Linked DNA regions of Ovis aries. The protein of the gene in region 2 purifies or fractionates together with the protein of the main gene of each other region. This does not show direct contact. Links are inferred from orthologs where the notes say so. Each region holds a gene or a part of one and is shown on either strand. Other genes may lie near its edges.

Region 1 (3,650 bases), on a different chromosome or scaffold from region 2:
TTGGACCACCAGGGAAGTCCTGCGCTTGGCTTTCTCCCTACTCAAACACTCCCCTATCTTTTTAAAATTTGGACTGAAAATTCAACAGCTTAGATTTCAGGGTGACTGTATGTAAAAGAGAAGCTTCTCTTCCCTCAGAATCCTTTATATCAGGGGCAGCAAATCTTTTCTGTAAAGGGCCAGAGAGTAAATGATTTAGGCTTTGCTGGCCACATGGCATTTCTATCTCAATGCTACTCATCTCCACCGTGAAAGCAGCCACAGACAGAAAGGAAACAGATGAGCAGCAAAACTCTACATACGAACATGGATGTTCACGTTTCATATGATGTTCACGTGGCACAAAAGAGTTTCCTTTCCATTTTTCTCAACCATTTAAAAACATGAAAACTGTTCTTAACTTGTAGGCCCTACCAAAACAGGTAGGCTGGATTTGACTCACAGGGAGCCAGAGTTTGCCAACTCTTGCTTTCTACAAGAAAGGTCTAGGATTGGGACTCCCCAAGTGGTCCAATGGCCAAGATTCTGAGTTCCCAATGCAAGGAGTGTGGGTTCAATCCCTGCTCAGGGAACTAGATGCTGCAACTAAAGATCCTGTGTGCCGCAAGTAAGACCCAATACCACCAAATAAATAATAAATAAATAAGTAAAAATCAATAAATATTATTAATAGAAAAGTATAGGATTCGTGCGTAAGTAATAATAATCACACTCAAGCATGACACAATCCTCCTTGAACTATGACTAGTACAGTCCATTTAACATTTGTCCTAAAAACACTATTTCCAAAAATCCAGAAACCTCTCTAAGCAAATGCAATGGTAGACACATTCTGATTCTAACATGTTCATATTAGAATTGGAACACTAAAAATAAAAATGCTCATTAAAAGAACTTTTCTTTTTTTGGCCTCATTGCAGCCTGTGGCATCTTAGTTCCCCAACCAAAGATCAAACCTGAACTCCCTGCAGTGGAAGTGTGCAGCCTTAACCACTGGACCACCAGGAAGTCCCTAAAAGCACTTTTCTTCATGTGAAAGAAAGCTGGATATTACCTTGCCGAGTTAGGCCCTGTAGCCTTTCCTGGTGGGGCTGCATTCTTCTGGGGGCAGTAAAAGTTCTCATACATGATGGGTGCTAGGGAATCATCAAGACATAAAACGTTAAGAAGCTGATGACTTCCATTCTCAATGACATGTGATACAAAAGACTGATAGAATTGCTTGAATAGCATCCCCCAGCCTATCACTCCATTCACCTGGTGGAGTCTGTCCAGTTCTGCGGTGATTCACAAAGTACTCAATGTCCTTCTCGATACTGCACATCTCTAAACTCTTACGGACTTTTTCATACATCTAACAAAAAAAGAAGATAAATCAAGGTAGAGGTACATCCATAAAAATGGTGGCATGGAGTATTAAAATGGGAGGTTTGATGAATGGCTATTTTCCAAATTTTGTCTTCAAAAGAAAAAAAAAAAAAGATACCACAATGTCCTGGACTCACATAGAGGGATTTCTTTGATGTATAGCTGCTGTTACATTTTTTTTTAAAGATAACAAAAAATAATATCTTTGTAGCAGCACAGTAATCTTGGCAGAAAGACTTTTAAAAAAATGGATGGGATGAAGAGAATAGATACCAAGTCCCATGACAAATCCTACACACAAATGCAAAGACAATTGGAGACAAGTCAGTCAATCCTACCTGTCTTCTGGGTGTTATTCTTCAAAACTGAATGTCCCATCTAAGTGCGAGTGGCTATTTCTTAGGAAAGAAGGTTGTGATAATTTGATTCTGGTCCCTCTGAGACCTGGGAACCCAGGACAGTTGCTGTGCATGAGTTAAACCTGGGTCACTAGTGGCCCTTAACACTGCTGACGTTAAACCTTGAGCCCTGGAGTAACCATTAGCCTGGGCGTGGCTCAGCCTGCTAGTTCCTGGTACTTACTGTCCTGGAGTGACTCCGTTTCAGACTGGAGCAGTCCCTGGGACTCACATTCATGTTGTTACATCTCTGTTTTCCTTAAATTAAACTGCATTTGGGTCCTTTCTTTGCTCTCCTGCCCTAATTGTGAATTTCTCAGTGAGAGACTCATGATGGTAAAGTGAGCCAGGAGTCAGGCAAGTTAGGTGTTTATCTGGGTCCATACTCACTGTGTATGCAGTCACTGTACCTACCTGGGCCTCTAATGACGGGGGATGAACTAACAGATGTCTCTGACTCCTCCCACTCTACGAATCTAATATGCAGAGCATCCTCCGTGGATAACTCTGACTCACCTCATCACTTGTGACGCATTGTTGTGAGAGCTGATTCATATGTAACCACAGTGCATTTCGAAAGAAGTTTATTCGTTCACATTCTTGAGTCTCAAACACCTGTAGAAACATGTACACACATGCAGAGAAAGGGTCTAGACTGGCTATGATGTAAGAAACAATTTCAACCTTGAATTATCTGTAAGCTTATGGTCTCATTTAGTGTACTCCCACCCACCGCTCAGGAAGCTCATACACTCTTAACTCCGGCAAATGGATTTTAATAACACACTAACACAAATAGGACTGGATACAGTTTTGCACATAAGAGGTGATGGTGAACCCAGCCGTCAGTGTTCTAACCTGAATTGTGGCTCACATTCTCCACTGCCTAATGGACATCTGCATGTGGGTAGCTTGCCAGAGCCTCCAATGCAAAGTTTTGCCCTCAGGTTTCCCTGATGGTCCAGTGGTTGGGGGTGTGCTTTGCATTGCAGGACACATTTCAATGCAGAATTTGCAATGCTAATTCAGTCCCTGGTCTGGAAAGATCCCACCAGCCGCAGAGCAGCTAAGCCTGCGAGCCACAGCTACTGAGCTTTTTGCACTCTGGAGCCCACAGGTCACCACTACTGAAGCCCACAGCCTCCAGAGCTTGTGTTCTACAACAAGAGAAGCCCATGCACCACAAACTAAGGGATGGCCCCCATTCGCCTCGACTTGAGAAAGTCTGATTTCAGAGGCCTGGAATTGGTCTGATAATAAGATCTGCATCTAACAAGGATGTTGGTACAGGTCCCAGGACCTCCCTTTGAGAACCACTGGTAAGAAAAATGTGTAGACAGGGTGACAGAAACTTGAGGAAGTTTCCAGGTGGAGTCTTTATTTTCTCCGGGACATTGTGAAGCAAGTGTTGAAAATGAGGAGGGCCATGGCAAAACGAAAGGTGAGAATAAAAATTCTAAAGCTAGCTCTGTTGCTCCCTGCACCCCCTTGTCACAGAGAAAGGCGAAGCTTTTGGTGGGAAGTCACCAAGAAAGTGAAAGTGAAAGTAGCTCAGTCGTGTCTGACTCTGCGACCCCATAGACTATACAGTCCATGGAATGGTCCAGGCCAGAATACTGGAGTGGGTAGCCTTTCCCTTCTCCAGGGGATCTTCCCAACCCAGGGATCGAACCCAGATCTCCCACTTTGCAGGCAGATTCTTTACCAGCTGTACAAGGGAAGCCCTGGACGTCACTAAAGAATTAATTGATTCAGCTGCTTCATACCTGAGAACCAAACAGAGCAAGGCCATTGACAGAATGGGACAGCACGATCAGGATGGGCAAGAAGCAGAAAGACAAGGTTTGCAAGAAAACATTCCAGTCCTTTCATCCCCTACTTAAA
Region 2 (4,247 bases):
CAGAAATTAAACTATTCCTCTAAGGGGACTCTTTTTTTAAATACAGGACAAAACTGTATCTTTTTATATCCACATACCTGTATACAAATGCACAGGAAGACAATTGGAAGGACACATCTGGAAGTGGTTCTTTCTGAGAAGAGTAGATTTGTATGTATCAGTTGTATTATTTTAAAAAGAAATATTTTTCTTTAAAACAAATAGGAAATTGGATCTTGCTACTCACACCTGTTTTCTTCAAGTTTATTATTAAATTCCACGGTGCTTCTAAACATTCATCTGGGAAACGGGGCCTGCTACTGATATTTATTTTAACCAAATTGCCTAACCAATCTTATCCGGAAAAAGCATTGTTTGTGGTATAGTGAACAAAAGGAAGTGACCTAGAGAAGTTCATGGATCAGGTCTTTCACTTCAGTCACATTATCACGTTTACGCTCCTTAGTGAGAGGTAACATGGTGCTGGTGAGAGAAAAAGGATCTGAGTTCCAGTTTGGGCTCTGCTAAGAATATACTGGGGGACCATGAGCAAACACTTTCATTGTAAAATGGTGAATAAGACTAGGACAGATTTCTTTGATTACTAGAAGACTTACAAAGATGCAGTCTAGGGTGAAAAATCTATTATTCAGTTCTGAGTTGCTCCGAATCTAAAGGCAAGAAGACAAATTCTCTCCAATTCAGCAAACGTGTGTTATGTATTAGGACCACTGTGAATCTCAGGCGCTCTTTCACCAGGTTTTAGACTGATTTGCAAAAAAGCAAAAAAGTCCTCTCACTGAAGAAGCGTTTCGTTTCTCTTGGCCGTGGCCATTGCCCAAAGTGCCAAGATCTAATTGCCGTCAACATTAAGATGAAGACGTACCTGCTGCGAACGTGAAGACACTACAGTTCCCAGCATGCCTCTCTTCCCACCGCCGCCCTCTCCCGCCCCTACTCCTGGACTCTTGCCGGGCCGGGACTTGCAGTCCCAGCTCAAAGCCGGCGGCGGCGCGAAAGCAGTCTAGAAATGTACTTTTCCCACAAAAAGGCGGTGAGACCGCAGTTTCCAATTCAAGTCCTACTCCAACTGACTAGCGTCTGTCCGGCGGAGTCAAATTCCCTCCAACCAGCTCTCTTCAGACCGGCAAACTGCTGGGGCGGAACCACGCCCCGGAAATGAGGTCAAGTCCCCCAGCTGACGGCTGAAGCTCCTTCCAGCCACTCCTAGACGGACTAGGACAGGCGGGGCGGGCTTGGGGGCGTGGCAAGCGGGCGTGGCTCAGCTCGGCGTAGCCCCGGGGATCTAGCCGCTGCGCGGGGCCGCGCGTCTGGGTGGCAGCGGGGGCGCGCCCGTGGAGAGTGGCGGCTGCGGTTGCTAGTCTGGAGGGAGGGAAGGAGGAACCGGGAAGGGGTGGGGGGGGCAGGGCGATCGGAGAGCCGTGTTCCTAAGGCGGTGGCTGCGTCTCCGACGGAGCAGGAGCAGGGCGGGGAAGGAGGATGGAGCAAGCTGGGGGTTGGGGTTGGCGCTAGCCGCTGCGGCTCGTCTACTACTGTGGGAGAGTGGCTGCTCCTGGAAGTTGTAGGATCGGGAGCCGGGCTGGTGCCGCCGGTGCCGCCGCTGCCTTGGGCGGTGGGGAGGAGCAGGGAGCGTCAGGGGTCGGGAAAGACGGGACGGGTAGGGGGCGCGAGCTGGGGAAGACTGAGCGGGCTCTGCGCCGGGCGGGCGGGCGGCGGGGGGGCCAGCGACCGCAACCGGGGGGACGGGGGAGGATGGAGCAAGTGGAGATCCTGAGGAAATTCATCCAGAGGGTCCAGGCCATGAAGAGTCCGGACCATAATGGGGAGGACAACTTCGCCCGGGACTTCATGGTGAGTCCCTCCCCTCGCTGTTGCCTCCTCTCACCGGCATCCAAGCCCACTGCCTCTTCGCCCGCCCGGCCCGACCGCCGGCGCTTTGTGTGCGGCTGTAAGGAGAGGGGCGGAGGGGGCGCGCGCCAACCCCAAGGGCCGGGGTTGACTCGGAGGCTGGGAGGTGAGATCGCCCCTCGTCCTCCTTTCCTTTCGTCCTGCGATCGCGGCCCCTTCCGCCCGCGTCCGGAACGCGAAGAGAGGCCGCTGGCCAAGCCCGCACTTAGCGCCGCCGCCCGCGACCACCTATTGTTTCTCGGGCTGGGAGCGGGAGGCGAATGAGGTGCAGGCCGGTAGGCTCTTCTCATCTCCCCATCCAGTCTGCTCCTCCTGGGAGGGTCGAGGCAGGAAGGAGAGCGGATAGCGCCGACTGAGGAACGGAGCTATTAAGGTTGCATTTAACTCGTGGGGTCCCTTTGCTCAAGCTGGTCTCAAAAGAGGTCAGGGTAGGACTTTTTGCTCTTTCTGGGTTCGCAGTATTATCTCCAATGCAAGAGAAAGGATAGTCCATAGGAAATCTCGTGGAATGTTCGATTTCCATTTACTGCCGTCCTGTCTCTTGTCTCTTGAGACCCAGGTTTTAGATGGTGTAGGGGTCAACGTGATTTGAGGTTGAGGGATAAGTGTGTGTAGAGGCAGGGCGTGGGGGTGGAGGGTGCGTGGTTATCCCGAAGGAAGCCTACTTCAGACTCCCTAGGGGATACTGCCGAAGGCGGAGGGGATGTGACTATCACTTCCTATCCGGGGTGGGGGTGGGGAACTTGGGAACAATAGTCCTGGTGGGGCGGAGGCGACTGTACGGGCTGAAGCCCTGAACTGGGAGATAACCTTCGTAGTCTCCCCACCCCCCTTCCGACATCCCCCCTCCCCCTTCCGCCCTTTGCTTGTACTGGCGGGCTGGATAGGAGGTTAAAAGTCTTGGTCGTGGAATTGCTCTCGAGCCATCACTACGAGGGGGTCAGATCCGAAGGCGTGGGACCAGAAGTCGACTTCCTCCATTGCCACCCCCCCTCCTTTATTTTTCTGCTGGACAATGTTCCCTTTAGGGTTGTTTCTCGCCTTAGGAGGCGGTGGTTGCGGCGCTGCTCCTACGGATATTGCGCAAGACTGGGGCGTTGGAAACCCTGGAGGTCTGGGGAATGGAAAAGGAAGTGGGACTTTGGGAAGTGGTTGCTCCTTAGTCTTGGCGGGGTTTGGAAATGGGAAATAAGCTAGGGAAAATTTTGCTTCTGGGCAAGATTCACCTCCAAGAGTAGTCACCTAACTCTGAAATTCTGGATTGTGAAAAAGATACACAGTTAATGTGTATAAAAATGAGTCGCAAACATTGGCTAGTTTTTGTTTCAAAGTACAGTTTAATTGTTTACAAGGTGCAGGTGAAATGGCTTTTCGCACTGAAATACGAAATACTTTTCACATTTTAAAGAGACTTTGGTCTAGTAAAACTTTAGCGTTAACATTCTTAACCCTTAACTTTACTCAGTGTCATAACAGTATAGTTGAGCTTTGTGATTCCCGCCTCCCTAAACCAATAATAGAAGATAGGAGTTTGGTTTTGTTAGTATCTTTTGAAAGTGTAAAAAATGTTGATTAAATAATTTATGGTTTATTTTAAACATTTCCTCTTGATACTTAGCCCATGTATCTCCCCCCCCCCAATTTCCCTTTTATCTGAAAAAGTTAAAGATGTTTCCTTCTTCCTATTGGGAATTTTGAATGTGTTAGGTATCTTTGAAATGACATCACAGTAATTGGACAGAGTCCCCCTTTTATTACTCTCTAGCAAACATAAAAGAAAATATTTACTTAGATTTTAAAACTAGTCTAACACAGTCTTACTTTGGATGTGGAAGGAGAGGTGTGTGACCCTGTCCACTTGGCATGTTGGTCCTCTTGTTCTCTATGGACATATCCTGTCAGGAAAGGGCATTGTTTGCTGATGCAGGCCATCAGGACAAGTGCCCAGTCTCTGAACTCCTGTACAGGGGAAGTAGCCTTCGGGTTCATGCTTTGGGGATGAGTCAGGGATTCCTATTGGAGATTTCGTTTCTCCGGGACTAAATGAGTTTTCTTTTTCTTCCCTAATACCTAGGGATATCTAGGTGATTCTGCATTTAAGATTTGATGACTAAGGCTGTTCTTTTACAGTGCTTGCTTTTTTTATTCTGTGACTTGATAAGCAATAGCTATAATTAAATCTGCCAGTTATGCCTCTTTTTCTCTTAACTAGAAAGCTGGAGGAAAACTTTGTCCCCTCTGCCACAAAAAGAAAATATATTGGCTAATAGATTCTTCTAATAATAAACACTTCTGTAATTCTTAAATTCTGACATTTTAAAATTTTTAGCATTTGAGAA
Region 3 (2,696 bases), on a different chromosome or scaffold from region 2:
TGAAATGTTTAAGTAACTTAGGTAAGGCACAGAATAGTATTTAGTGACATCATGTCGTTTAGAATGACACTTAAAAGATGTACATATAAATGAATAAAGAAAGATTTAAAAGTTACATGTATGCTGAGTTTATAAAACATGCATATGAAAGAATATTGGAAGATAATATGGGAATAATAGTTATGTTGAATTAATGAGAGAATGGGAGGTAATTTCCTCTCTCATATTCTCAATTTTCTAGAATTTCAAAAATTTGTTCAAAAATAAAAAGCCATTTGGGAAGAATTTGATGAGTCCTCGTGCTCATTTTGTCTTTGCTTGGTTGACCTTTTGTATCTCCTCTTAATTTCTTAGTCAGTTTTCTGGCACGAGGGTGATACTCTTTCCCCAGACCGGGAGTGTGCAGAGTTGTGGTATTGTGGACCGTTTGTCTTCACGAAGGAAAGAAGGCCGTGTGCCATCCTGGTTCCCAGACGCTGGGCTGCTTCTAGGTGGAAAGTGAGAAGTCACTTGGGAAGCCGTGCCGAAGTGAACTCTAGTGACTGTGAAGGAAAGGAAGAGAGAAGCTATTGGTGGAGGGTACCAGCATCTGAAACAGGATTTTTAGCAGACCTGAGGGGCTTGGCTGGGAAGGAAGAGAGGGGAGAAGGAGGCTCGCACGGAAGCAGAGAGGATCATGAAGCAAGCTTCTTGTACCCGGCCTGGCGGGGATGCTTTGGAGAGAGATGGGGATCTGAGTGTTGACTGGGACCTCAGTATGATCAGTGGTGTTCATTTTTACATGGATCTAGACATAGCAATCAGAGCACAACCCCTTCATAGGAAGTACATCTTGTCCCCATTTGTACTCAGTGTGAATTCCAGAACTGGGATGCTGTGGCAGGTGTTGACTGTAATTAAATCCTCTGATGAGTACTGTGGAACCTGCCATAAAGTTGATTTTGAAAATGTTTTTGGTAGAATTTTATATCTGAAGCAGTTTATACCTTGCTATCTGAAAAGTTAAATTTTTAGCAAGTAAAATTTTAATTGAAGACAAGACTTGCTGTGCTAGTCCTGTTGGGGTGCTTGAAGGTGGAGAGGAGGTTCAGGGCACCTGGGGGCCCGCCGGGTCACATGGGTCAATGCTGGCCGGACTTAAGACATGGGGCTTGTAATTTAAAGTGCCAGAGCACCACGTTGGCTCTGCACTGAATTTCATGACTGACAGCAGGGAGTGTTACTTCATAAACGGGGGGGTCACTCATGTTTGAGCGCAGTTGTCAGGTGGACTCTCCCTGCCTGCTTTTTCCCCATGACATGTGTTTGTGCTCATTATCTCCCCTTCAGGCTCCAGGTCCTCCAATGACTTTTCTGTGAACAGAACTTGGGTTTTCTCTCATGCATTTCTCTTAGGTGGTCTGATTTCATTTGAGTGGTTTCGACCGTGTCCCCCTGCCCTCCGGCACCTTGCTTGGGCTGCAGAATCAGCACTGACTGTGAACTTTATGGATCCGGGCAGGCATCCCTCAGTGTCCTTGTTGAGTGACCACTGGCTGGGGTGCTGGGTTTTAGGGGTGAACGCACAGACGAGTGACTCTTGCTCTCCCAGACTTTGAGGTGTTGTAGGGAAGAATCTTGGAGGACGATGTGAGCTGCATGCTCGCTGCTCTGGGGTGGGAGGTGGATGCAGAGCAGGGAACCATGTGTTCGGACCTTGGTGACCACTCATGCTCACTGTTGTCCTGTAGAGCTGGTCACTGGGGACCAGATGTTGGACATTTTAAAAACTTTAATAATGAAATTGAAACCTGTCAGAACTTTCTGTGTAAATAATTTCTTGGACAGGGATGTGGAGTTTTAAGTTTTGTTTAAAACTATTAAGGAGAGTTGTCAGTTGACGAACTCCCTGCCTGCTACCTTTGTGATGCAGAACGACATGGAACCCAGCAAAGCCATTCCGCTGAACGCTGCGAAGCAGGACGGGCCCGCGCCAAAGCCGCACAGTGTCTCCCTCAGTGACACCGAGACGAGGAAGCTCGTGGAGGAGTGCAAGCGGCTGCAGGGGGAGATGATGAAGCTGTCAGAAGAGAACCGACTCCTGAGGGTGAGTGCCCGCCTGGCCCCACTGTGCAGCGGCCTCGGCGCCCCTCTCGCCCTTGGCCTGGACGCTGGGGGCTGGCGTGCCCTGGCTGCTTCCTCACTCGCTGGTGCAGCCTCCGCGCCCGGGCCTGGCATTATCGGCTGCAGCAGCAGTGCAGTCCCTGCGAGGGGGCCCCCGTTGTCCAGGGCGGGCCACCAAGGTGTGCTTAGTCAGAATTAAGATGTGCTGTGAGTCACATAGTGCAAGAAAAATCCCTGTTTTGTATTGTTATGTTGAAATAATATTGAATTCTATTAGATTCAGTAAAAGATACATTATTAAAGCTAATTTTATCAAGTTTAGTACCTTTTTAATGGGCTTAGAAAATTTTAAATTTCGTGCATGGCTCCCATTGAAGGCCCCTGTGAGGTGGCTTGACCTGTGCTGAGATGGTTTTTCTGGCTGTTTCTTCCTCTCCCAAGCCCCTCTCCAAGGCCCCTGCCCTGAACACCTACCTGGAGGGTGGAGAGATGCCCTCTGTTTCACAACCACACACAGCTCCATCCAGTTGTAAGGGGGCTGCTGTTTGCCCTTTTCCTTTACCTGCCATGACCTCAGTTCTGTGTTTGGTGGA

The links.
Region 1: the proteins of PTPN12 (region 2) and PSTPIP2 purify together in Homo sapiens (affinity purification with mass spectrometry; 4 studies listed by BioGRID and IntAct, counting the BioPlex papers as one, with this or other methods). This does not show direct contact. The link is inferred for Ovis aries from reciprocal best matches to the Homo sapiens genes PTPN12 and PSTPIP2.
Region 3: the proteins of PTPN12 (region 2) and VAPA purify together in Homo sapiens (affinity purification with mass spectrometry; 3 studies listed by BioGRID and IntAct, counting the BioPlex papers as one, with this or other methods). This does not show direct contact. The link is inferred for Ovis aries from reciprocal best matches to the Homo sapiens genes PTPN12 and VAPA.

Annotation. Positions count from the first base shown.
Region 1 is NC_056076.1:46,126,695-46,130,344, forward strand, and holds part of PSTPIP2 (proline-serine-threonine phosphatase-interacting protein 2), read right to left. Parts: intron 2,382-3,650; coding exon 2,283-2,381; intron 1,355-2,282; coding exon 1,258-1,354; intron 1,137-1,257; coding exon 1,055-1,136; intron 1-1,054. UniProt on the Homo sapiens protein: Binds to F-actin. May be involved in regulation of the actin cytoskeleton.
Region 2 is NC_056057.1:45,190,930-45,195,176, reverse strand, and holds the start of PTPN12 (tyrosine-protein phosphatase non-receptor type 12), read left to right. Parts: upstream 1-1,312; 5' UTR 1,313-1,752; coding exon 1,753-1,851; intron 1,852-4,247. UniProt on the Homo sapiens protein: Dephosphorylates a range of proteins, and thereby regulates cellular signaling cascades. Dephosphorylates cellular tyrosine kinases, such as ERBB2 and PTK2B/PYK2, and thereby regulates signaling via ERBB2 and PTK2B/PYK2.
Region 3 is NC_056076.1:42,439,824-42,442,519, forward strand, and holds part of VAPA (vesicle-associated membrane protein-associated protein A), read left to right. Parts: intron 1-1,912; coding exon 1,913-2,086; intron 2,087-2,696. UniProt on the Homo sapiens protein: Endoplasmic reticulum (ER)-anchored protein that mediates the formation of contact sites between the ER and endosomes via interaction with FFAT motif-containing proteins such as STARD3 or WDR44.